3 linked regions of the Elephas maximus indicus genome follow. The protein of the gene in region 1 purifies or fractionates together with the protein of each later gene. This does not show direct contact. Links are inferred from orthologs where the notes say so. Each region holds a gene or a part of one and is shown in the gene's direction. Other genes may lie near its edges.

The links. Proteins that work in one complex are often made in the same cells at the same time.
Region 2: the proteins of PSMA7 (region 1) and PSMD5 fractionate together in Homo sapiens (co-fractionation; 3 studies listed by BioGRID). This does not show direct contact. The link is inferred for Elephas maximus indicus from reciprocal best matches to the Homo sapiens genes PSMA7 and PSMD5.
Region 3: the proteins of PSMA7 (region 1) and PSME4 purify together in Homo sapiens (affinity purification with mass spectrometry; 4 studies listed by BioGRID and IntAct, with this or other methods). This does not show direct contact. The link is inferred for Elephas maximus indicus from reciprocal best matches to the Homo sapiens genes PSMA7 and PSME4.

Annotation. Positions count from the first base shown.
Region 1 is NC_064843.1:5,782,392-5,791,991, forward strand, and holds the start of PSMA7 (proteasome subunit alpha type-7), read left to right. Parts: upstream 1-4,344; 5' UTR 4,345-4,473; coding exon 4,474-4,569; intron 4,570-8,069; coding exon 8,070-8,196; intron 8,197-9,122; coding exon 9,123-9,247; intron 9,248-9,600. Other genes in the region: SS18L1 (calcium-responsive transactivator), read right to left, coding at 3,836-3,904.
Region 2 is NC_064827.1:70,762,389-70,771,988, reverse strand, and holds the start of PSMD5 (26S proteasome non-ATPase regulatory subunit 5), read left to right. Parts: upstream 1-3,780; 5' UTR 3,781-3,859; coding exon 3,860-4,032; intron 4,033-9,600. UniProt on the Homo sapiens protein: Acts as a chaperone during the assembly of the 26S proteasome, specifically of the base subcomplex of the PA700/19S regulatory complex (RC).
Region 3 is NC_064844.1:8,230,525-8,240,124, forward strand, and holds the start of PSME4 (proteasome activator complex subunit 4), read left to right. Parts: upstream 1-3,298; 5' UTR 3,299-3,310; coding exon 3,311-3,552; intron 3,553-9,600. UniProt on the Homo sapiens protein: Associated component of the proteasome that specifically recognizes acetylated histones and promotes ATP- and ubiquitin-independent degradation of core histones during spermatogenesis and DNA damage response.

The DNA of each region.
Region 1 (9,600 bases):
GGATACAGTCCACTCCTGGCTCTTCTTTCTTGGTGGTGGTGAGATCCTCCCTTCCTGCCTCTGGAATAACTCATATTAAGCCTAGTGAGATAGGAAAACTGACCAATCCCCTTGTTAGAATTCCATACACCTTACTTACACTTTATTTGCATTGTCCTACTCAGTGATTGTGTATGAATCACAAAGACTATGGCTAGACGGGCCATACTGAGTAACCCACTGCAAGGCAGGGTGGCTCCCTCACGGGGGCAACTCAAGCACAGAAGATGACCAAGAAGCCAGCCAAGGCTGCTCAGCACCCCTGGCTGGGCTCCTGTGGCTTCCTGGGACCCCACCCCTACTCCCTCCCAGGAGATCACCCCCTCTCCATCCCTGGGGATGTAAATATAGGTAGCTGGTGTTTCCCTTGGCAGGGGGGACTCTACTTTTGGGCAGCAAGCTTTCTGTAACAACTCACTAAAAACTGTCAATTAGCAATGTTAGTGGGAAGCTGGGGGTGTCCCTGGACCACTCACAGCTGGGGGAACAGTCTCATTCTGTGAACAGCCGGCTCACCTTTCTAACCAAAGAGCCCGTCCCTACCCAACGTGAACCCCCCCTTCCTAGGTACCCATCCCTTACCAGGGCACCCACCCTCTGCCCGGACACCCATCCCCTGCCTGGGCACCTACCCTCTGCCTGGATGCCCATCTCTTACCAGGGCACCCACCCTCTGACTAGACACCCATCCCTTACCAGGGCACCCACCCTCTGACTAGACACCCATCCCTTACCAGGGCACCCACCCTCTGCCCGGACACCCATCTCTTACCTGGGCACCCACCCTCTGTCCAGACACCCATCCCTTACCAAGGCACCCACCCTCTGTCCAGACACCCATCCCTTACCTGGGTACCCACCCTCTGCCTGGACGCCCATCCCTTACCAGGGCACCCACCCTCTGCCTGGATGCCCATCCCTTACCTGAGGCCCATCCGCCACCCAGCTGGCCATCCCTTCCCCACGTCCCCACCCCCTGCTCCTGCGCACGCAGGACACTGGAGCAGGGCTGGCCCACTCATGCTCTGGGATGCTGGGTAGGGCATCACCCTTTCTGGTCTTAAGAACAAAGAAACTGGGGAAGGAAAGGGGCCCAGGCAGCCTGACGGCGCCACCCCTGCAGCTCCTCACTGGCAAACAGCCCCAGGTCCCCACCTCGTCCCCCCCCTCCCGGGGCTGTGTACCGATCTCGCCCTGCATGTGCTGCTGGGACGCAGAGGGACAAGACCTCATCCCCAGCCTACAATCAAGAATGCCATACAAAGTGTAACAACAATGGCTGCATTTATTGAGCAACTACTGTGTGCTGAGCAGCAGGGAAGCACCAAGCAGGCCAGAGGAGCTTCGTGCCCAGGGCCCTTTCCTACATGCCCACACCTGGCCACACTGCTGCCCTCCCCAGAGTGCAGTGCTGGTCAACAGGACACACTGGTCCCAAGACGCAGGGGAGGCGCAGAGGACAGGTCCCAGCCACTCAGCCAGGCAGCTGAGTGCAGGGGCTGCTGGATTTGCTAAGGCCCACCAAAGTGGCACCCCGAGCTCAGCAGTTCTCACCCAAGCACTTTCTGATTGCTTCTCCCCCTGCACCATGTCCTCAGCACGGGGCCCAGGTCCCCAGGGCAGGCCAGCCTTTCCTGCCTTTCTGGACTGCTCCACGCAGTCCCTGCATGAGACGACCCATGACTCCCTCAAACTTCTAGACCCTCTTTTCATTTGTTTCTTGTCTCGAACACCCCCAAAACGCACACACCCACTTAACAAAAGCACTCCCACTGACAAAGCCAGTGTCATCCACCCTTAGTATGTCCTGAGCCCTCACCCTGCCCAGGAGCTCAGGAGACTGCAAACAGAAAGTAGCCCAGGAGCTCAAGCTATGGGTCAAACTGCTATATTGGCCATATGCCAACCAAAGAGAGAGAAGGCATCTGAGTAGGGCCTTGAAGGTGGCATAGGACTTTGCCTAACAGAATCCCACCGACAGATACGCTCTGAGAACAAGGCGTACACCTCCTGCTTCTTCGCCACCACCCTTGGTTTTCCTCAACGCCCCCAACGCATACCTACGACCACACATTGCAAACACCACACTCTGAATGCAAGGCACAGACTGTCACACCCCCCCAGGCAACCCAGTAAAACAGCTCTGGGGGCACGGACTCACTGTCAAAACGCACAGGCAGGAGGATGTGGACTGCCGACTGGACAGGTCAAGCCAGCTGCCAGCCCATTTTTGAGGGTCTGAAGGTAGGCTCTCCTCTTTCTGACCACTGTGTTTGGGGGTGGCCGCACTAACACACATGCTTGCCTGGAGAAGTTGGGGGGCAGGAAGCCAAAGATGGAATGACGATTGTGCTTATCAGAGATAAGCTCCCCAAAACCAGGGTGCCAGGAGCCCCTCTCAACTGCCAAAACATGCCCAGCCCTCTGCCTAGCCAAGTGTCCCAAGGTCAGTGTCATGGTTGGAGAGGGCCCTGGAGCTCCACTGTGTGGGTTCGACTCCCAGCTCTACAACTTACCAGGCAGGCACTTAACCTCTCTATGCCTCAGCTTCCTTACCTATAAAGCAGAAGAGATAGTAAGCACCTGGAAGAACAGAACGAATAAAGACTTGGACAACTGTTAGAACCTGGCTGGTACGCAATAAGCACTACAGTAATGTTTATTACACAATTAAAACGCCACACTCTGAGATCTGCATTTCTACTGCTTCTCAATCTGCTGAGGCTCCTTGTTTGTTAAAATCATTGAACACCTAACGCCAGCTAATGTAGTAACGTTTATACGACGACAAGTCACAGACTGAGGGCCACCTCCACGAGGACCCAGCAGATTACCAAAGAACACAGGGCACAGTCAGCAAAGTGCACCCCGAAGGAAAATTGGACGCTCCTGGGAACCCGCAGGAAGAATGATAACGGAATCAAAAGTTCAGAAAAGAAAACGATGTAGCTACAAATGACGTTGTGGAGATTAAAGCGGAATGCCTGCCTCGGATTCCCTTCTGAGCGAGTCTTCTAATAAGAAACAATAAGACATCCCAAGTCTCCCTTTCAAAACTACAGGCTTTTGTCTAAAAAGCATTTGTTAAACACGTTCCTAAGCCTAGATCAATGATATCCCTAGAAAACTGCAGTGCCAAGCTTGTAAAACGAGAAGGAACGCTGTGAGGCAAATCTACAAAGTTTCTGTTAGCTGAAAAAGCAGGCCAGGGTGTCACGCTAAAAAGAATGTTACATGCGAGTACGAGGTGGTGGCGCACTGGTGAGCAAGTGGACTTCACGCGCGGGGCTTCGGGGACGAGATCCCCACACTTTGCTCCGACCCTTCCTGGCTCCAAGCGTCAGCACCTTTGTGAAAAGGCTGCGTGCCGCCCCAGCCATGCACCCCAGGCCCACCCGGCCCCTCTCCACTCGCCAACGTGCGAGCAGAAGCAAGTGGCCGCCGCCGCTTCGCCACCCAGGTTGCAACCGAGCGCGATCAGCCCTGCTCCTGCCCGGCCCCGAGACACCCTGTCCCCAGCCCCGCGGGCGGCGGCACCCTGTCCCCGGCACCCTGTCCCCGGCATGACCCGGGCTGGCTCCGGCAAGCACCGCGGACACCGGCTGCGTCCTGGGGAACCGGGCACCCCCGCACCCACCCGGGCCGGCGCGCCCCCCACAAAGTTGGCGCAGGCGGCGCGCCTCGGCGGTCGCACCCGAGAGCGTTGCGAGGGGCGCGGGGGGCGGCCTCGGTGCGGCAGCGCCCGCGCTTTGTTCCGGCCCTGCGCCCCCCGCGCCCGCCCCGGCCCGCGGCCCACCTTCTGGATGGTCTGCTGCGTGACCTCGCCTTTGCCTCTCGGTCGGGCGGACGCGAAGGCCACGGACATGGTGGCAGAGGTTCAGCCCTGGCTCATGGGGCTTATTCTCTGGCCGCGCGCGGCGTCCGAGGACGCTCTGTCTCCGCAGCGGTGGGGGCGGGGCGGGCGGGGGGCGCCGCGCGGTGGGCTCGCCCGGGCCGCCGCCTCCGCCTCGTACCCCGGCCTGCCCGTCCACCGCCCCGCGCGCCGCCGATCCTATCTCAGCGCCCCGCGCCGTGCGCTCCGCCGCCTGTCCCGCGCGCCGCACCCGCCGTCGCCGCTCTCGCCGCGCTCCCCCGCGCCCGCCGTGGTGCGCTCCGGACGCCCTCCCACGCCTTACGCCAGCAGCGTAGGCCTCCGTCGGCAGCGTAGCCGTGCGATGGCGCCGTAAGCCTCCGTCGGCGGGTCAGCCGAGCAGCGCAGTCGTAGGCTTCCGTCGGCGGCGTAGCCATGCGTCGGCAGCGTAGGCCGTAGCCCGGCGTGGTGCGTCGGCCGCAGCGGCGCATGAGTGTGCGCTTTTGAGGACGCGCGCGGGCGGTCTCCCCTACCTGCTGGGGCGCAGCGGGCAGTCTCCGGAGCAGGCCGTGCCAGGCCCGGCCATGAGCTACGACCGCGCTATCACCGTCTTCTCGCCCGACGGCCACCTCTTCCAAGTGGAGTACGCACAGGAGGCCGTAAAGAAGGGCTCCACCGCGGTAAGACCGGCCGGGTCGAGGCCTGCGCGAGCCCGGGGATCGAGGCGGAAGTGGGCCGCGCGGGGGCCGGGGCTCCTGGCGGTTTTCGCGGAGGGTGCGTGCCCCGGACCCCGAAGGGAGAACGAGCAGGGCCGCGCCCTGGGCCGGGGTCGACGGCAGGTGTGCGCCCCGAAACCCGCGGGGAGGGTCAGTGGGCCGAGCCGTGGGCCGGGAATTTCCCGGGGCGTGCGCGCCCGGAGCCCGCCGGGATGGGGCTGGGGGATCCCAGGAAGCCTACGGGGGAGCGCAGGGAGGATTCCCGGGGAGGGCTGCGCTTCGGGCTGTGCCGGGGTCCCGGAAGGGTGGTGCTCGGGAAGCTGCCGTGTGTCCCGCTGCCTGCGTCCTGGAGGCAGGCGCGGCGGGTGCGGTGGTCCGGGGCGCGGCGGCGGGTGCTGGGGGCTCGGGAAGCGGCGCGTTCTCGTGCGGGCGGCGGCGCTTTCCCCGGTACGCGCCTTAAACCTTGGCGCGGCGCGGCAGCTCTGCCTTCGCTGCCCTGCTTTGGTCGAGCCGCTGTGCTGATCCCTCTTTGTATTCGGGGGCGTGTGTGGTGGGCTCGCTGTTTTAACTGAGCATAGTGGCGTAGTGGTTAATTGCTACGGCTGCTAACCAAAAGGTCGGCAGTTCAAGTCCACCAGGTGCTCCTTGGAAACTCAATGGGGCAGTTCTACTCTGTCCTATAGAGTCGCTATGAGTCGGAATCGACTCGAGAGCAGTGGGTTTGGTTTTAGGTTGTTTTAGTGGTAGGAGTGGAGCGCACGGAAGCAACGACGCCGCTGTTCGAAAGGAAAACGGAGGAGGAACCGCGTTTGTGATTTGAGGCCTTGGGCCTGCGGTGTCAGTGGCTTTCTGCTGTTTGGGTGGAGAGCGAGCCAGGACTGAGCGGCTTGTTTATTTCTCAGAGGTTGAGTAGGCCGGGGACGTACAGCGTTGGTAACTGAAAGAAATATCGGCAGATGTTTGCCCACGGTTTTTGACAGGCGTTTTCACAAACAGCGGAGTTCCGGGAAGGGGGTGGAAACTTAAGGAGGGTTGCTTATCTTTCATTGCAGCGGAGTGCCCCCCTGAGCCCCGCGCGATGCTGGCAGTGTGACGGCCATCTTGGCGTGGTCACCATTGCACTGGGCGGGACTGCGGCGGGGGTGTGGCTGGCCCACGCACTGCAGGGGCGCAGATGGGCTCTCAGGGCTGGCTCCTGCAGGCTTCCTTGGTGCGCTGGAGCAACGATACTCAGCCAGCTCCGAGTTATGGGGGTCTCCTCCACTAGGGAAATGAGTTGTCTCCAAAGGACCTGGTGGGCTTGGAGAACAAAAAGCTGCTGGCTCCCAGTGTCAGCAATGCAGGGCCTGGGCAGGTGCGTCCCTGGATCTGACCATTAGGCCACAGAAGCCCGACCCAATCTGAGTCAGCCCGCGCCTCAGCTTACACCACGCTGGGCCTCAGCTCACACCACACAGGGCCGTTTTGATGTGCAGGGAGCTTAGAGACAGCACGTGACGCTGCCGTCCGTTTGTCACTGCAAATTCTCTGCCAGTTTTTCACTTCAAGCCCAGCACTGGGGAGGTTGGAGCTGCAGAGCAGAGGCAACCCGTGCGGTGCTATGCGTTTCCTTTTCATTTCTTGAAGTTTTAGCTGTTTAGAAATGAAGGCCCCAAATCTTACCTGTTGGCTTAGCTCCTGCAAACCAGTCCATTTCTCTGGGAGTGGTCAGGTAGTTCTGAACTGGGGGCACTTTTTCCTCCGGAGGCATTTGGCAATTTTAAGACACATTTTTGGTATCTAAATTTTTAAGGAGGTGGAGGGGTACTATCATCCAGTGGGTAGAGGCCAGGGGTGCTGCTAATCTCCCTACAGTGCCCGCACAGCTGCCCACAGAGTCATCTAGCCAGAGCGTCAGCAGTGCTGGGTGTTGGGAGGCTCCGCTCAGAAATAACCAGGGCTGTTATCTCTCTGAGAGTTGTCCCGTTGTGTTTGCTTCTGTCTCAGTGGGGACGGAACTGAGGTTCTCTCTTTGGAACAATGGCCACATCATCTCCTGTCTACCCTCCCAACAACAGCTGACACCTTTGTCCCCAATGGCAAGTCCTCACACAGCCAGGTGCATTAGCACACGGCACTGCTGGGACAGGCACAATGGGTTGTTCGTAATTTCACAACTTAGAAACGTTCGTTTCAGAATACCTAACTTCACTGTTAAGGAGCACTTGTGGTATGATGGTTAAACGCTCAGCGGCTATCCAAGAGGTAGTGGCTTGAACCCACCAGCGGTTGCACAGGAGAGAGATCTGGCAATCTGCTCCTGTAAAGATCACAGCCTAGGAAACTATGGGGCAAGTCTACTCTGTCTCATGGGGTCACTATAAGTCAGAATTGACTTGATGGCACCCAACGACATTAAGGGCAACTGTTTAACTCATTAGATTTAAATAACGCATATGCTAATTATATAGTAATTTAGTTACGTTATGATTGAACTCTCAGTATTTTAAAAGCATGGCGTCGGGCATTTTAGGTTAGAGTACCTGGATAACCTCTGTTTAGGTGCTGTCGAGTCCATCCTGACTCATAGCGACCCCATGTGCAACAGAACAAAACACTACTCGGTCCTCCGACATCCTTGCGATCACTGCTTTGTTTGAGCTCACTGTTGCAGCCACTGAGTCAGTCCATCTCATTGAGAGTCATCCTCTTTCTCACTGATCTCTACTTTACCAAACACGATGTCCCTGTCCAGGGGCTGGTCCTTTCTGATAATATGTCCAATGTAAGTGAAATGAACTCTTGCCATCCTCGCTTCCGAGGAGCACTCTGGCTGTACTTTCTCTAAGACAGATCTGTTCTGCCTCCTGGCAGTCCACGGTATATTCGTTATTCTTTGCCAACACCATAATTCAAGGGCATCAGTTCTTCTTCCGTCTTCCTTATTCATTGTCCAGCTTTTGGATCCGTATGAGGCGATTGAAAACACCATGACTTGGATCAGGCGCACCTTAGTCCTCAAAGTGACCTCTTTGATTTTTAACACTTTGAAGAGGTCTTTGCATCCGATTTGCCCAATACAATGCGTCTTTTGATTTCCTGACTGCTGCTTCCATGGGTGTTGATTGTGGATCCAAGTAAAATAAAATCCTTGACAACTTCAGTCTTTTCCCCCTTTATTGTGATGTTTCTTACTGGTCCAGTTGTGAGGATTTTTGTCTTCTTTGTGTTAAAGTGTAATCCATCCGGAAGGCTGTACCTTCTGCTCCTCATCAGTAAGGGCTTCAAGTCCTCTTCACTTTCAGCTAGTTCTGCCAATAAAGAGCCGATACCCAGGGTTGGCAGGGTGTGTTGCTGACTGTAGTGGCGGGCACATGGAGGAGGGCAGGCTGTGCCTGGCACACCTGGTGAGGTGAGGGCTGCTGCTTCGCCTGGTGGCAGAACCTCAGTCACTGTATTAAGCGGTTTGTTGATTTTTATTGAAGGTTGGCGTACGAGGAAGAGAAATTGTTGTTCTTGGAGTGGAAAAGAAATCTGTGGCCAAACTGCAGGATGAGAGAACGGTGCGGAAGATCTGTGCTTTGGATGACAATGTCTGCATGGCGTTTGCAGGTACCAGTCTCAGGACAGGGCTTTGTTCCTTGAGGTCCAGCAAAGAACAGAACTTCTAAGGGCAGCGGCGGGGGGGAAAGGCTGTTGGGGGACGTGTCAACTGGTCAACAAGAGCCATTGATGAGTGTTGGTGTAACGTATATACCACAAGTGGGTAGCTTTAATGAACAGAAATTTATTTTCTCACAGTTCAGGAGGCTGGGAGTTTGCAATCAGGGTGCCACCAGCTCTAGGGGACAGCTTTCCCTGTCTGCTCTGGGAGAAATCCTTGTCGCAGCTTTTCTAGTGGTCCCTGGTCATCTCTGTTCTGTCTGTGCCCCATCTGCTCTTTACATCTCAAAATTGACTGCTGAAGACACACCCTGTGTTGGCATGGCCTCGCTGACATAACAGAAAACCCTGTTCCCAAATGGGGTCGCATCTACAGGGTTAGGATTTACAACACATATTTTGGGGTGGACCCAGTTCAATCCATAACAAGAAATGGGTGTGGGATTTTAAAGGATTGGCCAGAGTGTCACAGGATACCTCTGCAGCACTTCCAGGATGTGGCTGCTGTGCCGTGTCCCTTCATGGCCATTTTTCTGTTCTGTTGTGATATAAGGGCAGGCTTTCTTGGGCTGCACACGCTGTTGTAAGGTGAGAGGGCAGGGCCACTGAGCACGTGGTGCGGGTTAGCTCTCTTCATCTTGCCTCTCATGACCTGAATAAGGGGTTGACCAGCCTCGTGACAGAATTCCCAAGGGAATAACCTAGTGTGGCTAAGCGCGGGCAGTCGTTCAGGTGGCCTCCGTGCTTGGCTGCGTGGGACTAGTCTGAGATCCATGCCAGAGGGCCACTGCTGTCCTGCTTGCATCCCGAGTGTCGTCCTCACTGGACTGGGCACGTGTGGCTCAGGTGGAAGCTCTGCTCTGCTGTCATTGCAGGCCTCACCGCTGATGCAAGGATCGTCATCAACAGGGCCCGAGTGGAGTGCCAGAGCCACCGGCTGACAGTGGAGGACCCGGTCACCGTGGAGTACATCACCCGCTATATTGCCAGTCTGAAGCAGGTGTGCACTGCCTGGGTGCACGGCTCCAGCATGGGGCATCGGCCTGCTGTGGAAAGTGTCCCGTGTTACTCGTGAGGCAGTCAGAGCACCGGGGTAGTCCTGATTCTCAGTGGTACACGTCAGTTCGCTATGGTGGTCTCCTGCTCTCGTTTGGTGGCGTGGGGAAATGGCACCAGGCACGTGGGAGGGGCGGAAAGCCACCCCTCAGCAGGCTGAGCCCATCTGTTTCCATCAGAGTGACTCCAGAGATCCTCTGTTATGCTCCATGATGTGGTTCTGGTCACAGGCGGGTCTTCCTGAGGGTGACGGATACGCAGAGAGGAATGCTGAAAGCTGTGGGCTAGTTTCATTCA
Region 2 (9,600 bases), on another chromosome or scaffold:
TCTTTTCCAAGGCGCTATGCACACACCCTGTTGTTGCATTTAACAACCTAGAGGGAGCTGCAAACAAGTAACAGCAGCAGCTAAGCGGCAGAGTGCCCTTTTAGGAAATACAGAGCCCACCGTTGCCAGGGTTTCTAATTTTTCAACCCAGTCTTTTATGTGAAATACCTTAATTTTAAAAAGGACAACTCTGGAGATGAGGTGGGGAGGAACTGAGTGCATAAAGGCATGTGTAAACTTTTTAGGTTGAGGGAACTCTTCTATATCTTGATTGTGGTGATGATTACACAATTATTTATCAGCAAAACTGAAAAAAGTGTACACTTTCATTGGTGAATTTTACTGTAAATACCTGGAAAAAAAAATGGTGGCAACCAATTCAAAATTGTCCTAACCTGGGCAGTCCAAACAAAACATACCTGTTAGTCAAATCTGGCCTGCAGGTTACCAGTTCACAGGCTCTGTGCTTACTCTAACTCCCTGTTTACCAATCTATCTCAGTCCTCCAGGCTGTCGAAGACCTGATACACTTCCTAGCAAAGTCTTGGCAAAGTAAATGTATCAGCTGTAGTCCTAGTCCTCCTGCCACTGACACTGTTAGATGTGCAGACTCAGAAGTTGCTAAACCTCTCAGCTTTTGTGGACTGTGTTTTTTGTAAAGGAAGGATTAACGTCTTTATGAGTCTGAAGTGAGGAATAACAGGGAAGATGCACTTGAGTGTATTAAAAATTTAAGATGTCATCATTTCAAGAATTCTCATGTCAATTGTCAAGGTTAACTCCATAAGTGATTGACAGATAAACAGGACGTCTGGAAAAGACAGGGTTAGAGAAAATGCAGTTGAGTGGTCCCATGAAAACCTTCATATTTTAAGTCCACTAAATCTGAAGCCTTGGTGGTGCGGTAGTCAGGAGTTCGGCTGCTAACTAAAAATTGTTCTGAATCTACCAGCTGCTCCTTGGAAACCCTATAGTGCATTTCTACCATGTCCTATAAAGTCGCTATGAGTCAGAATCAACTCTATGGCAACGTTTTTTTTTTTTTTTTAAATCAAGACAGTGATCTTCCGTACCTATTACATTACTAAAAATGTGCACTGCTAATGACTGTTAATTACCTCAGATTCCGAGATGATTTTGAGATGATATCCTCAGGTTTAGCACAGGACCCTGCTGAGTATGCTCAATAAATGTTTGTTGAATGACTAAATGATAAAGATGTGTGGCTGGTGATGATCAGGATGATGGTCACAATGAAGGTGACGTTGGGGTAAAAGGGGAAGGATGGCAAAAATGAACTGTTATTTGGAAGAAGCCTCTGGATCTTCTTCTTCCTTCAATTCAGGCACTTCTACTCTAAAATCTAATTCTGTATTTATGGCTTTGGCAGATTCTTCAGCGATTGCAAGGTCTGAGTGCTACTACTGCCTGAAAGTTCAACCTTTTCTTCTCAAAGTTTCTTCTCCTCCTCCTTACTAGACTTTGACTTAAGATTTGGACTTGGATTTGGACTCAGATTCTTCCTTAGAACCAGATTTTGTATCTGTTTCTTTTACCCGTACCACTTCTTTTTCATTATCTGAATCTTCCCCCTCTTCAACTCCTTTTGCTTTTATTTCTAAGGTTCTTCTGTACCACTTCATAGTATACAGAAATTTATTGAAATCTCTTTTAAAGGCCACACTTCTATCCAGGAAAGGATCCATCTCAATTGCAGCACCAGTGAGGTCTAAGGCCTGGCATAAGACAGCAGTTTCCTTAGATTCATTTTTAGTTTTGGTTGGAGGACTTGTCTTCTCCCTCATCTATGGGTGTAGACTCTCATTTATCACCAAAGTTTGAAACTTGAGCAGGTCACTGATTTGCCTGGATCTCAATGAATGTAAAGCCCATCCGTTGTGCAGAGTCTATGATTTTTTTTTCAACTTCATTAACTCTAGGAAAACATGCATCATTTACAACATTCTCCCAAAGTTTCCACCAAGCTTTATTAAGAGCCGCTGGTTTTATAACATCCATTTCTTCTTTTACAACTACCAAAGCATCGGCTATGTTGTTAATGTTGCCATATTTCTTTCAAAGTTTATGGAGAGGATTTTCTTCAATATAGTCAGCAAAATGGTCAAACATATGCTTGGCATAACACCTCCTGAAAGCTTCAATTACACCCTGATCCAAGGGCTAAAAAAGGCTAGTGAGGGGAGAAACACAGTATCAACATTCCAAAAAAAAACCAAACCCAGTGCCGTGGAGTCGATTCTGACTCATAGTGACCCTATAGGACAGAGTAGAACTGCCCCATAGAGTTTCCAAGGAGCACCTGGCAGACTTGAACTGCCGACCCTTTAGTTAGCAGCCGCAGAACTTAACCACTACTCCACCAGGGTTTCCACATATCAATATTCGGATGAGCAAAGTATATTGAGTCTGAGTGATTGGGACCTCTGTAGCAACACACTGAATTCGAGATTTTTTTTTCTGTTAAATAACTTTGGGCTTGATGGACAAAACAATTATGAAACCAATCCAAAAAGAAGACAGTGGTTACCGATACTTTGGGGCATGATCACCAGAGAACAGGAGGGCGTTTTTTAAATCTTTTTCTTTAAGACAAGTGAGATTAGGGTCTTTGTAAAGTAGCAATGGGTTGTATCGTTTTGTCACCTGAGGCACTGGCACAAAAAATAAAGAAAATCATGTCCTTAGCTTCCTCTAAGCTTTCTGCATTTTTTTTTTTTTCCCCTCTGAAAGTACTCAATGGCTCGCACTTCTAAAACAAGCTTATGTCCTCAGCGTTGAAGACCTGTTGAAGCACACAGCCTCTAGCTCTGAGCAGTCTCTGGAGTTGCTTGGGATACTTGGGTGCCTACTCAGCATTCAGCAATTCTTCCTTCCCCATCACCCTAGCATTCTGCAAACAGTTGCGATTTTAAAACTTCTCAAACCATCCCTTGCTCACATGAAATTTCTCTTGGTTGCCATTCCCCATGGTTTCCACCAGCTGCTGGTAAATGCGTTTGGCCTGGTTGCAGATGGCCTTCAAAGTCAGATGACGTCCTCCTATGGTCTGGTCCTCAACCCAAAAGGTTAATTCAGTGTCCATCTTCTCCATGCTTATACCCCAGGGTACGCACAGCACCTTGGAGCAAATGGGTGAAACACCCACCATGCTGGCACTAAATGGCCTTCTCGTTTTTCTTAATGGTGCTCACCGTAAAATTACTAACGCCAAAAAGGCGCCCGACATCGGTCTTACTCACGCCTTCGTCCACCTTATATAAAATTTCCATCTTGTTTTCCAGGGGTACGATCCTCTGCCTCCACTTGTTACGTGTCTGGGGCGGGATGGTGATTTCACCCCCTGCCTCCACTCCACTTGGTGTTACCTCAGCTGCTGCGGAAGCCGCAGCGGCCTCCACAGCTGCCGGTCTCGCCGCTGCCGAGAGCCTGGACAGCGCCCGAGAGGCTGTTTAACCTTCGGTTCGTCCCCATCCTCACCACTCCGCTTGCGGGGCATTTTTGCGAGTCTTCGCTTTCTGTGGTAAAAACCCGAGAAGACTGGAAAGTCAGATGACGTGCCCAAATGAGCAGTGTCCAAGATGCCAACAGACCGAGCCCCACAACCACCGGCAGCCGCTGACTCGGCACTAACAGACAGAGTCTCGCGATGCTTGGCAGCCCCCTAACGCGCGCAGGCCGCCAGCTCCGCATTCCGATTGGTGCGGCCTAGCGGTTCTCAATCACAGCCGACGAGACGAGACGCGAGGCTGCGCCACGCAGATCTCGCGAGGCTGGGAGAAACGCCCTGGGAGCCCGAACGGCGGGCGGCGGGTCGAAGAGCCCCGTCAGGGGGGTTAAGATGGCGGCCCAGGTGCTGGCGCTGCTGCGGGAGGTGTCGCGGTTAGAAGCGCCGTTGGAGGAGCTTCGCGCGCTTCATTCGGTGCTGCAGGCTGTGCCGCTCAGCGAGCTCCGAGAACAGGTGGCGGAGATGCACCTCGGTCCGCTTTTCTCCCTGTTCAACCAGAACCATCGGTGAGAGGATCCTGAAGCTTGAGCGGGGAGTGACACTCCCAAGCCTAGGGAAGAAGTGAATGGGGAAAGGGGAGTGAGTTTCTCAGTCGCAGGGGAGCTAGAAAATAGCCGGAATTTCAGAGGGCTAAGGACCCTGGGCTAGAGAGGCAAGACACAGAGGTTCTAGTTCAGCCTCTGAGGTGTGTCCACGAGCTAGCTTACTCTTGTGGTTTGGTCTCCCTGCTCTCATCAAATAGAAATTGGAGGAGCAAAGCAGTGGTTGACCACCTACAGGGAGGACTCCACAACCACGTATATAGGTCCCTGACATTTTTCCTTCTCTTAAAAATGCATCCCATCCTGGCAACTTGGCAAGACCGTCCACATTTTTTTATTTGTATTTTATTGTGCTGTAGGTGAAAGTTTTCAGCGCAAATTAGTTTCTCATTCAAAAATTTATACACAGATTATTCTGTGCCATTGCTTGCAATGCCCCCAATTTTCAGCACTCCCCCCCCACCCCGTTCCCTCTGTTCTTGTGTCCATTTTTCCTGTCCCTTCCTGCCTTCTCATCTTTGCTTTTGGGCATATGTTGCCCATTTGATCTCATATACTTGCGTGAACTAAGAAGCACTTTCCTCAAGTGTGTTATTGTTTTATAGGCCTGTCTAGTCTTTGGCTGAAAGGTGGACTTGGGGCGTGACTTCAGCTCTGAGTTGGCAGGGTTTTTGGAGGCCGTAGTCTCGGGGTTTCATCCAGTCTCTCAGACCAATATGTCTGGTCTTTTTTTATGAATTTGAATTTTGCTCTACATTTTTCACTCGCTCTATCCAAGACCCTCTATTGTGATGCCTGTCAGAGCAGTTGGTGGTGGTAGCCGGGCAGCATCTAGTTCTTCTGGGCTCAGGCTGGTAGAGGTTGTGGTTCATATGGTCCAATAGGCCTTCGAACTAATATTTTCATTGTGTCTTCGGTTTTCTTCATTCTCTTTTGCGCCAAACGGGGTGGGACCAGTAGATGTATCTTAGGTGGCTGCTTACAAGCTTTTAAGACCCCAGGCACTACTCACCAAAGTAGGATGTAGAGCATTTTCTTTATGAACTATGTTATGCCGATTGACTTAGATGTCCCCTGAGACCATGGTCCTCACTCCCAGTAACTCAAGCCCTCAAGGTGTTTGGATGTGTCTACCAAGCTTTTATGACTTTGCCTTGGTCAAGTTGTGCTAACTTTCCCTATATTGTGTGTTATGTTTCCCTTCATCAAAGTTAACAGTCTCTCCTATCTATTTGGAAACCGTGGTGGCGTAGTGGTTAAGTGCTATGGCTGCTAACCAAGAGGTTGACAGTTCGAATCCACCAGACCCTCCTGGAAACTCTATGGGAAGGTTCTGCTCTGTCCTTTAGGGTTGCTATGAGTCAGAATCAGCTCGACAGCAACAAGTTTTTTTTTTTCCTATCTAGTTACTGATTTCCCCTCTCCTTCACCATAACCATCAAAGATTGTTTTTTTCTTTGTGTAAACCTTTTCTTGAATTTTTATAATCGTGGTCTCATACAATGTTTGCCGTTCTGTGATTGACTTACTTCACTCAACATAATGCCCTCCAGATTCATCCATGTTGTGAGATGTTTCATGGATTCTTTAACATCGAGTGGTATTCCATTGTGTGTATGTGTCATAATTTATTTATCCACTCATCTGTTGACAGGCACTTAGATTGTTTCCATCTTTTTGCTATCGTGAATAGTGCTGCAATGAACATGGGTGTATATGTATCTATTTGTATGATGGCCTTTATTTCTCTAGGATAATATTCCCAAGAGTGGGATTGCTGGGGGTCATATGGTATTTCTATTTCTACCTTTTTAAGGAGGCACCGTATCATTTTCCATAGTGGTTGTACCATTTTACATTCCCACCAGCAGTGTATAAGAGTTCCAGTCTCCCCAAATTCTCTCCACTATTTGTTACTTTCGTTTTTTTTGATAAGTGCCAGTAATGTGAGGGTAAGGTGGTATCTTGTAGTTTTTGCATTTCTCTAAGAGCTAATGATTGCAAGCATTTCCTCATGTGTCTGTTAGCTGCCTGAATGTCTTCTTTGGTGAAGTGTCTCTCATATCCTTTGCCCATTTTTTAACTGGATTAGTTGTCTTTTTGTTGTTGAGTTATTGAAGTATTCTATAGATTTTAGAGATTAGACCCTTGTTGGATATGCCATAGCCAAAATTTTTTTCTTTTTACTCTTTTGGTGAAATCTTTTGATGAGCATAAGTGTTTAATTTTTAGGAGCTCCCAGTTGTCTGGTTTATCTTCTGGTGTTTGTCCATTGTTAGTTATGGTTTGTATCGTATTTATGCCATGTATTAGGGCCCCTAGCGTTATCCCTGTATTTTCTTCCGTGATCTTTATCGTTTTGAATTTTATATTTAGGCCTTTGGTCCATTTTGAGTTAGTTTTTGTATATGGTATAAGTTATGGTTCCTGCTTCATTTTTTTACAGATAGACATCCAGTTTTGCAAGCACCACTTGTTAAAAACAATGTCTTTTCCCTATTTACTGGACTTTTTGGACCTTTGTCAAAGATCACCTGACCATAAGTGGATGGATTTACATCTGGATTCCCAATTTTGTTCCGTTGGTCTATGTGTCTGTCATCGTACCATTACCAGACTGTTTTGACTACCATGGCTGTATAGCAGATTTTGAGATCAGGTAGTATGAGGCCTCCTACTTGTTCTTTTTCTTCAGTAATACTTTGCTTACTTGGGGCCTCTTTCCTTTCCATGTAAAGTTGGTGATTAATTTTTCTATCTCTTAAAGAGTGCTGTCGATATTTGGATCGGGATTGCATTATACCTGTGGATCACTTTGTGTAGAATTAAAACATTTTCTCAATGTTGAGTCTTCCTATCCGTGAGCCTGGTTTGTTCTTCTATTTATGTAGATCTCTTTTGGTTTCTTGCAGTAGGGCTTTGTAGTTTTTTGTATAGCTTTTTTACATCCCTGGTTAGAATTATTCCTATGCATTTCATCTTGCCAGGGGCTATTATAAATGGTATTATTTTCCTGATTTCCTTTTCGAAGTTCTCTTTCTTGGTGTATAGGAATCCAACTGATTTCTATATGTTAATCTTGTATCCTGCTACTCTGCTGAATCTGTTAGTTCCAGTAGTTTCCTTGTGGAATCTTTGAGATTGTCCATCAACATTCTATTTATTTTTTTGAATCAACTGTGTATTTTATTGTGCTTTAAGTGAAAGTTTACAATTCTAAGTTAGTCTCTCATACAAAAACTTATATATGCCTTTTGCTATGTACTCCTAGCTGCTCTCCCCCTAAAGAGACAACACACTCCTCCTCTCCACCCTGTATTCCCTGTGTCCATTCAATCAGTTCCTGTCCCCCTCTGCCTTTTCATCTCGCCTCCAGACCAGAGCTGCCCACATAGTCCCATGTGTCTACTTGAGCTAAGAAACTCACTCCTCACCAGTATTATTTTCTGTCTTAAAATCCAGTCCAAACCCTGTCTGAAGAGTTGGCTTTGGGAATGGTTCCAGTCTTGGGCTAACAGAAGGTCCAGGGACCATGACCTCCAGGGTCCTTCCAGTCTCAGGCAGACCATTAAGTCTGATCTTTTTATGAGAATTTGAGGTCTGCATCCTGCTGATCTCCTGCTCCAGGAGGGATTCTCTGTTGTGTTCCCTGTCAGAGCAGTCATCAGTTGTAGCCAGGCACCATCCAGCTCTTCCCATCTCAGGCTGATGTAGGCTCTAGTCTATGTGGCCTTTTCCGTCTCTTGGGCTCTTATTGACCTTGTGTCTTTTGTGTTCTTCATTCTCCTTTGCTCCAGGTGGGTTGAGACCAATTGATGCATCTTAGATGGCCACTTGCTAGCGTTAAAGACCCCAGACAAGGATGGCAATTTTTTTTTTTTTAATGTCTTCAAACAATAACAACTTATTATCTTACAATAGTTCAGGTTAGAAGTCCAGTGTGAGTCTCACGGGGCTAAAATCAAGGTGTCAGCAGGGCTGAGGGTGGCAATTTTTACTTGTCATTGTATACATATCTGTAGTGTTTGAGTTTTAAACCAAAACCAAACCCACTGCCGTTGAGTCGATTCCGACTCACAGCGACCCTATAGGACAGAGTAGAACTGCCCCGTAGAGTTGCCAAGGAGCGCCTGGTGGATTCGAACTGCCGACCTTTTGGTTAGCAGCTGTAGCACTTAACCACTGTGCCACCAGGGTTTCCTTTAAAATGTTTACAAACTAGTATTTCAAAATGACGTATTATTCACCCATAAAGAGAAATGAAGTTCTAATGCATGCTAGACATGGATGAATCTTGAAATGTCAGACACAAAAGGACAAGTATTGTATGATCCCACTTACATGAAGTATCTAGAATAGCCAAAATGCATAGAGACAAAAGGATATTAGTGGTTACCAAGAGCTGGGGGGAGAGGGAAATGGAAGGTTATTGTTTGAGGGGTGCTGAGTTTCTACTTGGAATGATGAAAAACTTTTGGAAATAGATAATGGTGATGGTTGCACAAGAGGTGGATGTAATTAACGTCACTGGATTGTACACTTACGATGGTTTAAACGGAAAATTTTTCGTTATATACATTTTACTACAATCAAAGGAAAAAATCTTTTTACTTGAAAAAATAATCACTGGACCAACACTGGATTATTTCGGAGGACCTTCTTGGCTCTGACCTTCTAAAATTCCTTCCTTTTTCATACTTGTTCCCCCTTCATTAAAATACATATTAGTTACATTCTTTCAGGCTTTATGCTCTCTTTAATTCAGGCCCTCAGTTTCCCTTTTGCTGGGTCTGTTGCATTAGTCTGACTTCTCATTACCTCTTGGCTTCCTATTCTAGAGTATCCTTCACACACTGCAATCATAGTAATCTTTTTAGGTCACTTGGCTCAAATCTTTCCCATAGCTTACCATTGCTAAGGTATAAAATGCTTACTTAACGTGGCATTTGGGCTTTGACAAGTATATTTCCACCCTACTTTTCCAGCCTCACTTTTTCCTGCACTCCCTTACACATAGATTTTGTCTGCTTCTGCTACCATGTGGCACCACTTGCTTTTCCCTTGAGCATGACTTGGCACTTTGCTGACTTTGTTCATGCCAGTGCTTCTAACTGATATGCCTTTCCCATTTCCAAATTCTATTCATTACTTAAGGTCCAGCTAAAGTGCCAACCCCTCCAAAAAGTCTTTTTTGATCATTCCAATTGCAAGTGACTGCTCTTCAGATCTGCTAAAGGACAATATCATTATTTCTGTCAATATTTATCACTTATTGCCCTGTGTTATAGTTTTGCATGTGTTTATTAGTAGTTTTTAAGTTTTTTGAAGGTAGAGGCTGTATTTTATTCATTTCTACATGCCTCCCAGGGCCTAGCACATAATGTAATACATGCCCAATAAAAGATTAGACTCACAGAGTTTAGAGAGGCCACCTAGTTTAACTTTTTCATATTATAGATGAAGAGATTAATTGAAGGTCATACCACAAGTTAGCAAAGCTGCAATAGGAACTGAAGTGAGAGCGATTGAGGA
Region 3 (9,600 bases), on another chromosome or scaffold:
AGACCAAAATGGATGTCAGAAGAGACACTGAAACTTGCTCTTGAAGGTCAAGTAGCTAAAGCGAATGGAAGGACTGATGAAGTAAAAGAGCTGAACAAAAGACTTCAAAGAGTGATTCGAGAAGACAAAGTAAAGTATTATAATGACATACGCAAAGACCTGGAGATAGAAAGTCAAAAGGGAAGAACACACTTTCATTTCTCAAGCTGGAAGAACTGAAGAAGAAACTCAAGCCTCAAGTTTCAATACTGAAGGATTTCTACGAGCAAAATACTGAACAATGAAGGAAGCTTCAAAAGAGAATGGAAGGAACATGCAGTCATGGTACCAAAATGAATTGGTCAACATTCAATCATTTCAAGAGGTAGCATATGATCAAGAACCAATGGTACTGAAGGAAGACGTTCAAGCTGCACTGAAGATATTGGTGGAAAACAAGGCTCCAGAAATTGACGGAATACCAACTGAGATGTTTCCACACATGGATGCAATGCTGGAGGTGCTCACTCATCTATGCCAAGAAATTTGAAGACAGCTACCTGGCCAACTTACTGAAAGAGATATATATTTATGCCTATCCCAAAGAAACATGATTCAACCAAATGTGGAAATTATCGAACAATATCATTAATATCACATGCAAGTAAAATTTTGCTGAAGATCATTCAAAAGCGGCTGCAGCAGTGTATAGACAAGAAAACGCAAGAAATTCAAGCCATATTTAGAAGTGGACATGGAACCAGGGATATCATTGCTGATGTCAGATGGATCCCAGCTGAAAGCTGAAAATACCAGAAAGATGTCTACCTGTGTTTTATTGACCATGCAAAGGCATTTGACTGTGTGGATCATAACAAATTATGGATCACATTGCAAAGAATGGGAATTCCAGAACACTCAATTGTGCAGTCGTTTGAATAGAACGAGAAGATACTGCATGGTTTAAAGTCAGGAAAGGTATGTATCAGGGTTGTATCCTTTCATCATACTTATTCAATCTGTATGCTGGGCAAATAATTCAAAAAACTGGACTATATGACGAATAGGGCATCATGATTGGAGGAAGACTCATTAACAACCTGCGTTATGCAGACGACACAATCTTGCTTGCTGAAAGTGAGGAGGACTTGAAGCACTTACTGATGAAGATCAAAGACTACAGCCTTCAGTATGGATTGCACCTCAACATAAAGAAAACAAAAACCCTCACAACTGAACCAATAAGCAACATCATGATAAATGGAGAAAAGATTAAAGTCGTCAAGGATTTAATTGTACTTGGATCAACAATCGACACCTATGGAAACAGCAGTCAAGAAACCAAAGGACGCATTGCATTGGGCAAATCTGCTGCAAAAGACCTCTTTAAGGTGTTAAAAAGGCAAAGACGTCACTTAAAGAACTAAGGTGTGCCTGACCCAAGCTACGATGTTTTCAATCACCTCATATGCGTGCGAAAGCTGGACAATGAATAAGAAAGACTGAAGAAGAATTGACATCTTTGAGTTATGGTGTTGGGGAAGAATGTTGAATATACCATGGATTGCCAAACGAATGAACAAATCGGTCTGGGAAGAAGTAGAGCCAGAATGCTCCTTAGAAGCGAGGATGGCAAGATTTTGTCTCATATACTTTGGACCAGTTATCAGGACGGACCAGTCCCTGCAGAAGGACATCATGTCTGGTAAAGTGGAGGGTCAGTGAAAAAGAGGAAGACCCTCAACAAGATGGATTGACACAGTGGCTGCAACAATGGGCTCAGGCATAACAAGGATCATGAGGATGGTGCAGGACTGGGCAGTGTTTCCTTCTGTTGTACACAGGGTCGCTGTGAGTCGGAACCTAACAACGATATCTCATCCCCTCCTATCCACTTGTGTGGTAATCCATATTACAGTTTAGATCATCCTGCTGATCCATATCTCAAAATATGTAACCATCCCAAAAGCATTTTGCTATTTCTGCCTCCAAACCTGTTCTGCTCTGGCGTGCTCTCAACAAAGGGCTTCACTACACAGTCCCCCAAGCCAGACATCTGTCATCCTCCTGTCTCTTCCCTCTTTCACGCTTCATGTTCAATCAACTACCAAGCCTCAACCATTCTACTTCCTGAAATAGCTCTCAAAACATTTCACCTGACAACGAGGCCATTCCTCTGTCGTCCACATGACTGCACAGTTTTTTAACCAGTCCTCCAGTTCCAACATTGTCCAACCCAAGCAAAGCCAGTGATTCTTCTAAAATGCGAATCCTATCCTGCCACTCCTATGCGTAAAATCTTTCCTTTCCTGTTGCCCTTAGGATAAAGATGTAAACCCCCTCGGGCTTTTGTCAGTCTCATTTCCACACTCTCCTTTCTTGCGAGCCATCTTCAGCCATCCTGAACTTCTCTGAATTCCTAGAGTGCTCCCTGTATATTCAATTCCTACCTATTAAGTTTCACTCCCAGGAACCCACCTGATATCCCTCCAGTTTGTGGTCCTGGAGTTCCCGAGGCACCCTGCACTTACACAGCCATTAAAAGCTCTGTCTCTGAATTGCTCAGTCACTAGTCCGCATCCCCATTTCAAAGTCCCTGCAGGGCAGAAGGCAGGTGCTCTTATACTGATTCAATTACTATTTGGTGAATGAATAACCATTGTTTTTCTTTGGGCTGATGGCGGCCGGGAGAATTCCAGAAAGACGGGGGCTTGGAGGGGACAGAATAAAAATCTCTAAGTTTAGCAAGCGGGATGCACGCAAGGCACCGAGGCTTTTCCGTCAATCCTCGAAGCCCAGAACCGGGAGGTCCTCGCCCCTGCCGCAGGCACGGCGACTCGGGCTGCCGAGGGCAGGGAGCGCGCGACCCCAGCGAGGCAGGACAATAGCCCGGAATTCGGCCTCGCGTTTCCGGCGGGCGGGCCGGCCTGAGGCTCGGCTGTGAGGCCCGGGGTGAGGGCTCGGCGCCCGGGCGGCGGCCACCGAGGCTCGGCGCCCTGGGCTCCCGCTCCCGCCGCCGCCGCGGCCCCGCCCCGCCCCGCCCATCGTGGCCACGCCCCAAACCGCGCCCCGCCCCGGAAGTGACTTGAGGCCCTTCCGGAACCTCCCGGCCCGGCGACTGCAGCGTCACCAGCCGAGCCGGTGTGGGGCGGGCGGAGCGGCCGCTGCCGCCACCAACGAACCGGGGACCGCGCGGAGGTCAGCGCGCCGGCCAGGGGAGGGGGCCCAGCGGTCGGGCCGAGGGCGACGACGACGCGGAGGAGGCGGAGCCCGCAAGGGGCGGGGGCCGGGGCGGGCGCGGGCGGGAGGGGGCGGGGGTGGCCCGGGGCTCATGGAGCCGGTCGCGCTGGCGGGCGGCGGGGACCCCCCGGAGCCGGGCGGGCGCCCCGAGCCGGGCCCGCGGGCCTTCGTCCCGCAGAAGGAGATCGTCTACAACAAGCTGCTGCCCTACGCCGAGCGACTGGACGCCGAGTCCGACCTGCAGCTGGCCCAGATCAAAAACAACCTGGGCCGGGCGGTGCAGCTGCAGGAGCTGTGGCCCGGGGGCCTCTTCTGGACCAGGAAACTCTCGGCGTAAGTGCCAGGCCTGCGGGACGGGGACGGGGACGGCACCGAGGGCAAGGGCGGCCGGCGGCGCCCCTTTGTCCGGGACGCCTGGACCCCGCGCTCGGCTGCGTTTCGAGCCGGTGGTCCCGGTGCTGTGGCACCAGCCAGAGCCGCTGCAGAAACCTGGGAAGCCCCCTTGCCTCTTCCCTGCCACTTTCCTGCGGGACTTCCATGGTTCTCCGAGCTCCTCCGCCCTCCGCTCCTCCCCCAAGGGTTTGGGTTGTTGTCTTCCGACCCACAGGGCTCTGGGGAGCCGGGGGCACCTGACTGGCCCCAAGAGTCCTCCGTGGACCGTTGCCCATGGCCGGTTTGGGGCTGTACAGACACAACTCGTCTTCAGGGGAGGGACCTCTTGGCTTCCCCCGAGCTTCCTCAGGTTCTCTTTCCCCCAAGGTACTCACCTCCTCACATCCCTCAATTCCCATCTAGTAACTTTTCTGCCCGCGGTTTCTGAATGCGAAGGAGACCGGAAGGAAAGTTCTGGGTTCTTCTTTTCTGGGCCTGCTCAGTCTCTGTGGAATCATCCCTCAGCCCATCCTTGGGCAGTGCACTGGCTGTAGACTAGAACCGACAGCTGAGTTAGTGTTGAGTCTCGAACCCGGGAAAACTGTACGTTCCGCCGTTGTTGACATTTCCTTTGAAAAGACCTTTATAATACTAAGGAAGACAAGGAAGAGCCCTGTCCAGTGCTTTCTTAGCATCAGGCTCTGTCAGTTTTCTTTCCCACCGCCCCCCCCCTTTTTTTTCAAATTGTGTTTTAGTTTTGTGTCAGTTTTTGGGTCATTCTGAGGAACCTGGATTGCCTAAGTGAGTTTCAAGAGTTCTATTTTGTTGATTTGTTTTTAGTAAACTAGGTCCAAACTATAGTGTCCCTGAAATTGGGGTGGGGGGGGAGAGTAAAAATAGATAGTGGGGGGAAAAGGTTAGAGACTTTATTTGCTAGAAGTGCATCTTCACTGTGTTGGAAGAACTTTTTAAAAAAGAATCTTGCGGTGTCCTGTTTGATAAACTGTACACGAAGTCCTGCTAACTTTGTAGGTCGATGCCTGTGGATACAGACGGGCAAACGCACACAAGACAGAAGTCACTTGGACAGTGTTTACCCAAATCTGCTGAGTGTGCTGAGTGATGACTCAGCGTTTTGTAATGCATTCATCATCTTTCCATTTTGTCACATGGGATGGCCCTTACCTGCCAGTTATTAGGGGCTCTCTGACAAATTTGTTGCCTTTTAGGGGAGGACTGGGAGTAATTAACCTTTTTAAATAAAAAGAAGCAAAACTGAAGCACTTAATTTGTCCTCTACAAAAGGTGACCATAAGATGTCGAGGTTAACAACCCTCCTCTTTAACTTAGAGTGTAAAAAAGTTTGTGGCGTTAGGATCCGGAGGAAACTTGGAAAGAAAGGACTCCAGCAGGCAGAGAACTGCTTTTCATCAAAAGGGGAAGATGAGTAAATGATTAAAATCAAATGATGGTTTTCATGTGAGCTCCCTAGCTGTTTGGTCCTCAGGCACACTAAAAAGAGGCAGTTGCAGTAAACGCCCGTTTTCATCACTTGCGTTAGGTCTGCCAGAGAGTACAGTTTTTGTGGACACAAACAGCTGGTTTCAGATTTGTGTGTATAAATAGGCCAATGTGTGAAGCATATCTGGCTTGGATTTTTGAACCTGGAACCTACAAAGGCTCTGCACAGTAAGGCATTGTTGTCTGAAATCTTTATTGTTACCGGGTTTGGTAAATTAGCACCTAGGGTTTTGTTGTTGTTGGCCTTATTTGATAAGAGGAGCTTTTACTAGAAAGGGCTACAGTGGAACACCCCTGTGTGTTTAGGGCAGGATTGCAGTTAGATGGCTTAATGGTGATGAGCCCTTTAGTCATGTGTGTCTAAATAACCAGCAGGAAATGCCATCAGGTAGAGCTTTATTTTGGAGCAGTGGTGAAATGCTGCAAGCTGGTTCCTGGGATTGCAGTATGTGACATTTTGGGGCAAGTTGTGATCTTGGTTGTGTGTTTTTCTCGTAAGTCATATGTTAAGGTGACCTGTTTACAGACGTGCTTGCTGTGCTTTAAGACCTGCGTGCTGCATAAGTGTGTATCTAACGATGCCAAAACGTGTGACCATAGGTATCATATTTAGGACTTTATAGAAAGATGGAAACATAGTGACGTAAATAAAATCTGGTTTCTGCCACTCGCTCCTCCACTGCGGGGAAGCTCCTTAAGCCTGTATTACAGTTTCTTATAAGTGTAACGAGGGGGTTGGACTAAATAATTCCTGAGAACCCTTCCTGCCCGAGTGTTCTGTGATTTTATTTTTATATCCTGTAAAGCCTCAAGTAATCCAGAGTGTATTTTTCTACAAGGACTGTTTGAACAGTTTGTAAAGTACTGGAAATACTTGCATAGATCAAGAACTTTCCTAAAGAAGACCAGGGTGTAAATGCTGCTTACAGGCCCTGGAATTGGATCCACAGCCGGAGACGTGCCCCTTAAGCTGGGTGTCACGGGTCTGGGTGGAGCTGAGTTTTGAGTTGGGAGACACTCTTAATCTGCATTGGCCCTCCCTCCGCCTCTTTTGACTTTTCACCGCATTTCGGTAGTTAACGTAATTGTTTCAATCCATCTTGAGATGTGAAGTCTGTCTATCATCTCTGTTAAGAAAGGTTATTTCTGTGTGTTATAAAAATTGGCCCTGTAATGTAATACAAGCTGTTTTGCAAGCCAGTTTAAAGGATTAAAACTGCCTGTTCAAGAGCGATTTTGTGATGTAGTATGTCACAGGGCCAGTCTTCAAGAAGGGAGGAAATAAATGAGAGAAGGGAGGCGTAAATTAGTGGTTTTCGGAAAAGGGCAGTGGAAACAGCTCTTGGGTACCTTCAGTGAAAGGTGTCAGTAGATAGCTTGTATGGCCCGAGTAAGAATGAAGGGAACTCAGCTTTTCTCCTCCTGCCTTTCCGGACTTTTCACAAGAGGCAGTGAAATCTAGCCTGAAGACCTCAGTCATCTACCTGGCTTTTTGCCGATAACCTCATCCGCTTGTAGTGCTTACCCTCGGCCTCTCGTAGCTTTAGGTTCTTCATTTGGATGGAGGATGTTAGACTTAGTTTTTCAACCTTTTAAATTTTAGCATCGGACTGCTTATAAAAACAAAATGTTAAACAAAAAAGTGGGCTTCTCGGGCAGATGAAAACTGCATTGATTTTTTTTTTATTAATATTTTTTTGATAAGAGAAGCCTGCTCCAGGCATCAGAGCAGCAAACTGTTTAAAAAGTTCCTGGGCTTAAATGGCCCCGAGGGCCTTTCTGGCTCGGTGTCCCTTTAAACTGGCCTGGAGGAAGTGAGGAAAGGGGAGGGAGAAGGAGTGAATGGGCGACTGTTTCCTAGAAGCTTACCCCACCCGCGCTCACTTCTCTTTTCCGTTCTTTCTTAAACAGAATTTTGATTTTTGTAAATGTGTGTGTGGATTTGGTGTCATATGAAGCAAATTTAAATCCTGGTTTTGTTACAGTAAAATGTACTTGATGCCGCTTTGCAGTGACCTGACTATGTTACACTGAGAATCATCTCCTTAGCTAACTAAACTGTTGATCCCTTATAGAAGGAAACCTCAGTTGTCTGTTACTGAGAACATCATGTACCCTTCCTGGCAGAAGTTGGATTACCCCAGCTGAAACCACGTGATGTATTTGATTAGATTATACAACCACCAGAAATGAAAGTTTAGTCAAGGTGGTTGTTAGCTGCTGTCTAGTTGGCCCCCAACTTATAGTGACCAAATTGACAAATTATCACATTCATCAGTGATAACCAGGTAGGAGAAGTGGTAGATGAAGATGTTCAGAAGTGACCGCACTTAAAATGGGAACCAAAATGTCTTTGTAGTGGGCAAGTTGATTTTCCATGGGGGGAGGGAACACATAAGCAGTTTTGGGGGACATGGATGTTTCTGACAAAGTTTTATAACATCACAGTAAAGTATCCTTTATTGTTTATTTATTTGGTAGGACTGTCATACTTATGGAGCCCTCGTTGCGCAGTGGTCATCAGTTCAAGTCCATCAGCCACTCCTTGGAAACCCTGTGGGGCAGTTCTGCTCTGTCCTGTGGGTCCTCTATGAGTTGGAATTGACTCGACAGCAATGAGTTTGGTCGTACTTATGTAGCATTTTCAAAATATTTGAGGCCTCTATCAGTTAACCACTTCTGAACACCATGTTAGTTTTCATGAGTTAACTGAGAGCTTCTGCCACAATCTCATTTGTCAACGGATATATCTGATTTTGATTTGTACAATTTTTAAATATTTATTGAAACATTTGTTTGCTTTAAACCTTTGTTATAGAAAATATCAAACATATACAAAAGAAGACATAGTAATGAACCCTACCCCTGTGTACCCATCACCCATCTTCAACAGTTACAAATTCATGACCAGTCATGTTCTTCCATCATCTCCCTTCATTATTGTGAAGCGTATTACTTCATTCGTCAGTGTTTCCACTGTGTGTCTCTAAGAGAAAGGGCTTAAAAAAAAAAAAAACCCACAGTTCCAATACCATTATCAAACCTAAAAAAATGAATAATCCGGTATCATTTTCATCAGCCTCGGGAAATTGTGCTTCTCTTGCAGCAGTTGTTAAGTCACTTCTGAGTTTGCATTTCAGTTGCATTGTTTTGCCTGAGACTTATCACAGAGACCTCATGGACAAAGATGAAAATAACTCATTAGTCAGCATTTCTATATTATGGCATCTTTTTTCCCCCCATGCTCTTAAATTTGGAGACTTAGAATCAGTCCTGGGATAACAAGTACTCTTTGAGTTGCCTCCACGGTCAAAGTGATGACACTGAGACTCAGAGGTTAGTGCGTAATTTGATAGAGTAGTGGAGGCAGAATGCAGCCTTCTTTGAGCAAATTATTTTTTCAAATGCCTTTTTGGCTTGGCCAGACACTGACTTGGCACTTGGGTTACATCAGTGAAAGCTTTCTGCCCTCTGGAAGTTCCAGTGTGTGTTTTCTCTCTGTACATTTCTGTTCATTTAGGACAGACCAGACAAGGTGGCAGCTGCATCAGGAAATTTGGAGAAGGAAAATATGAATTCTAAATATACTACCTGTACTTGAAATCTCAAACTGGTGTATTTTAATGCCTCGCACCGAGGCACAGGGGAAGGCAGTTAAGAGAAAAACAACTGTTACCCTTCTGTTCTTCTGAGATCCGAGTGTGTCATTATGCAGACAATTTCCCAGGTGTTCTTGCTGCAGTGTTACAAGATACAGTGGGCTTTGAAATACACATTTTTAATTGAAAGATAGGCAAATTTAGTGTTCGGAGTTTTTGTTATTTTTTCATGGGAGCTTGTTAGTAAACAAGCACACAACTTATAAACCAGTTTTTCTCAGGGTGTAACCTGGAAAGCATCTTTTTTCTGTTCAGTGAGAGACACCCCACACCCCAATTTTTTTTTTTTTTTTAAACAATCTAAATCTATTTCCCCCTTGCCTTTGTAGAAAATTAGGTCAAAGTTTCATTCATTCTGTGTGAACAGTGAATTGAGAGCATAGTCATAGAAGCTCAAGCAAGCAGGCAAGCAAACAAACGCCTACATTCATTGAGATGGACGCTGGAGTGTTAAAAGCAGTACAAACCATAAATGTGCCCGTTGGGAATCTTGAGGTTGGCTCCTGCAATACTCGGCTTATACTTAGCATTTCTTTCCTTTCAGTGCAGTCTGTCTTGATCCCTGGTCATGATTTAGTATTCTTTGCATACGACTTTTCCTCCTGTACCTTGAGATCTGTTCAGGTCAATGTCTTCAGTAGTCACCTCTCCTCCTCTCTGTCCCCAGCATGTATACAGTGGCAGCTACATTCACAGACACTTACTAATATCAGACTTAACTTTGATGTTCTCTGTAATCTAGCAAGTATACAAATCAAAGGAATTGTTACTTTTGTAGTCAAAATGGAGAAAATTGATCTGGGATGTGGTCTTTTTTAATATTGGGTTC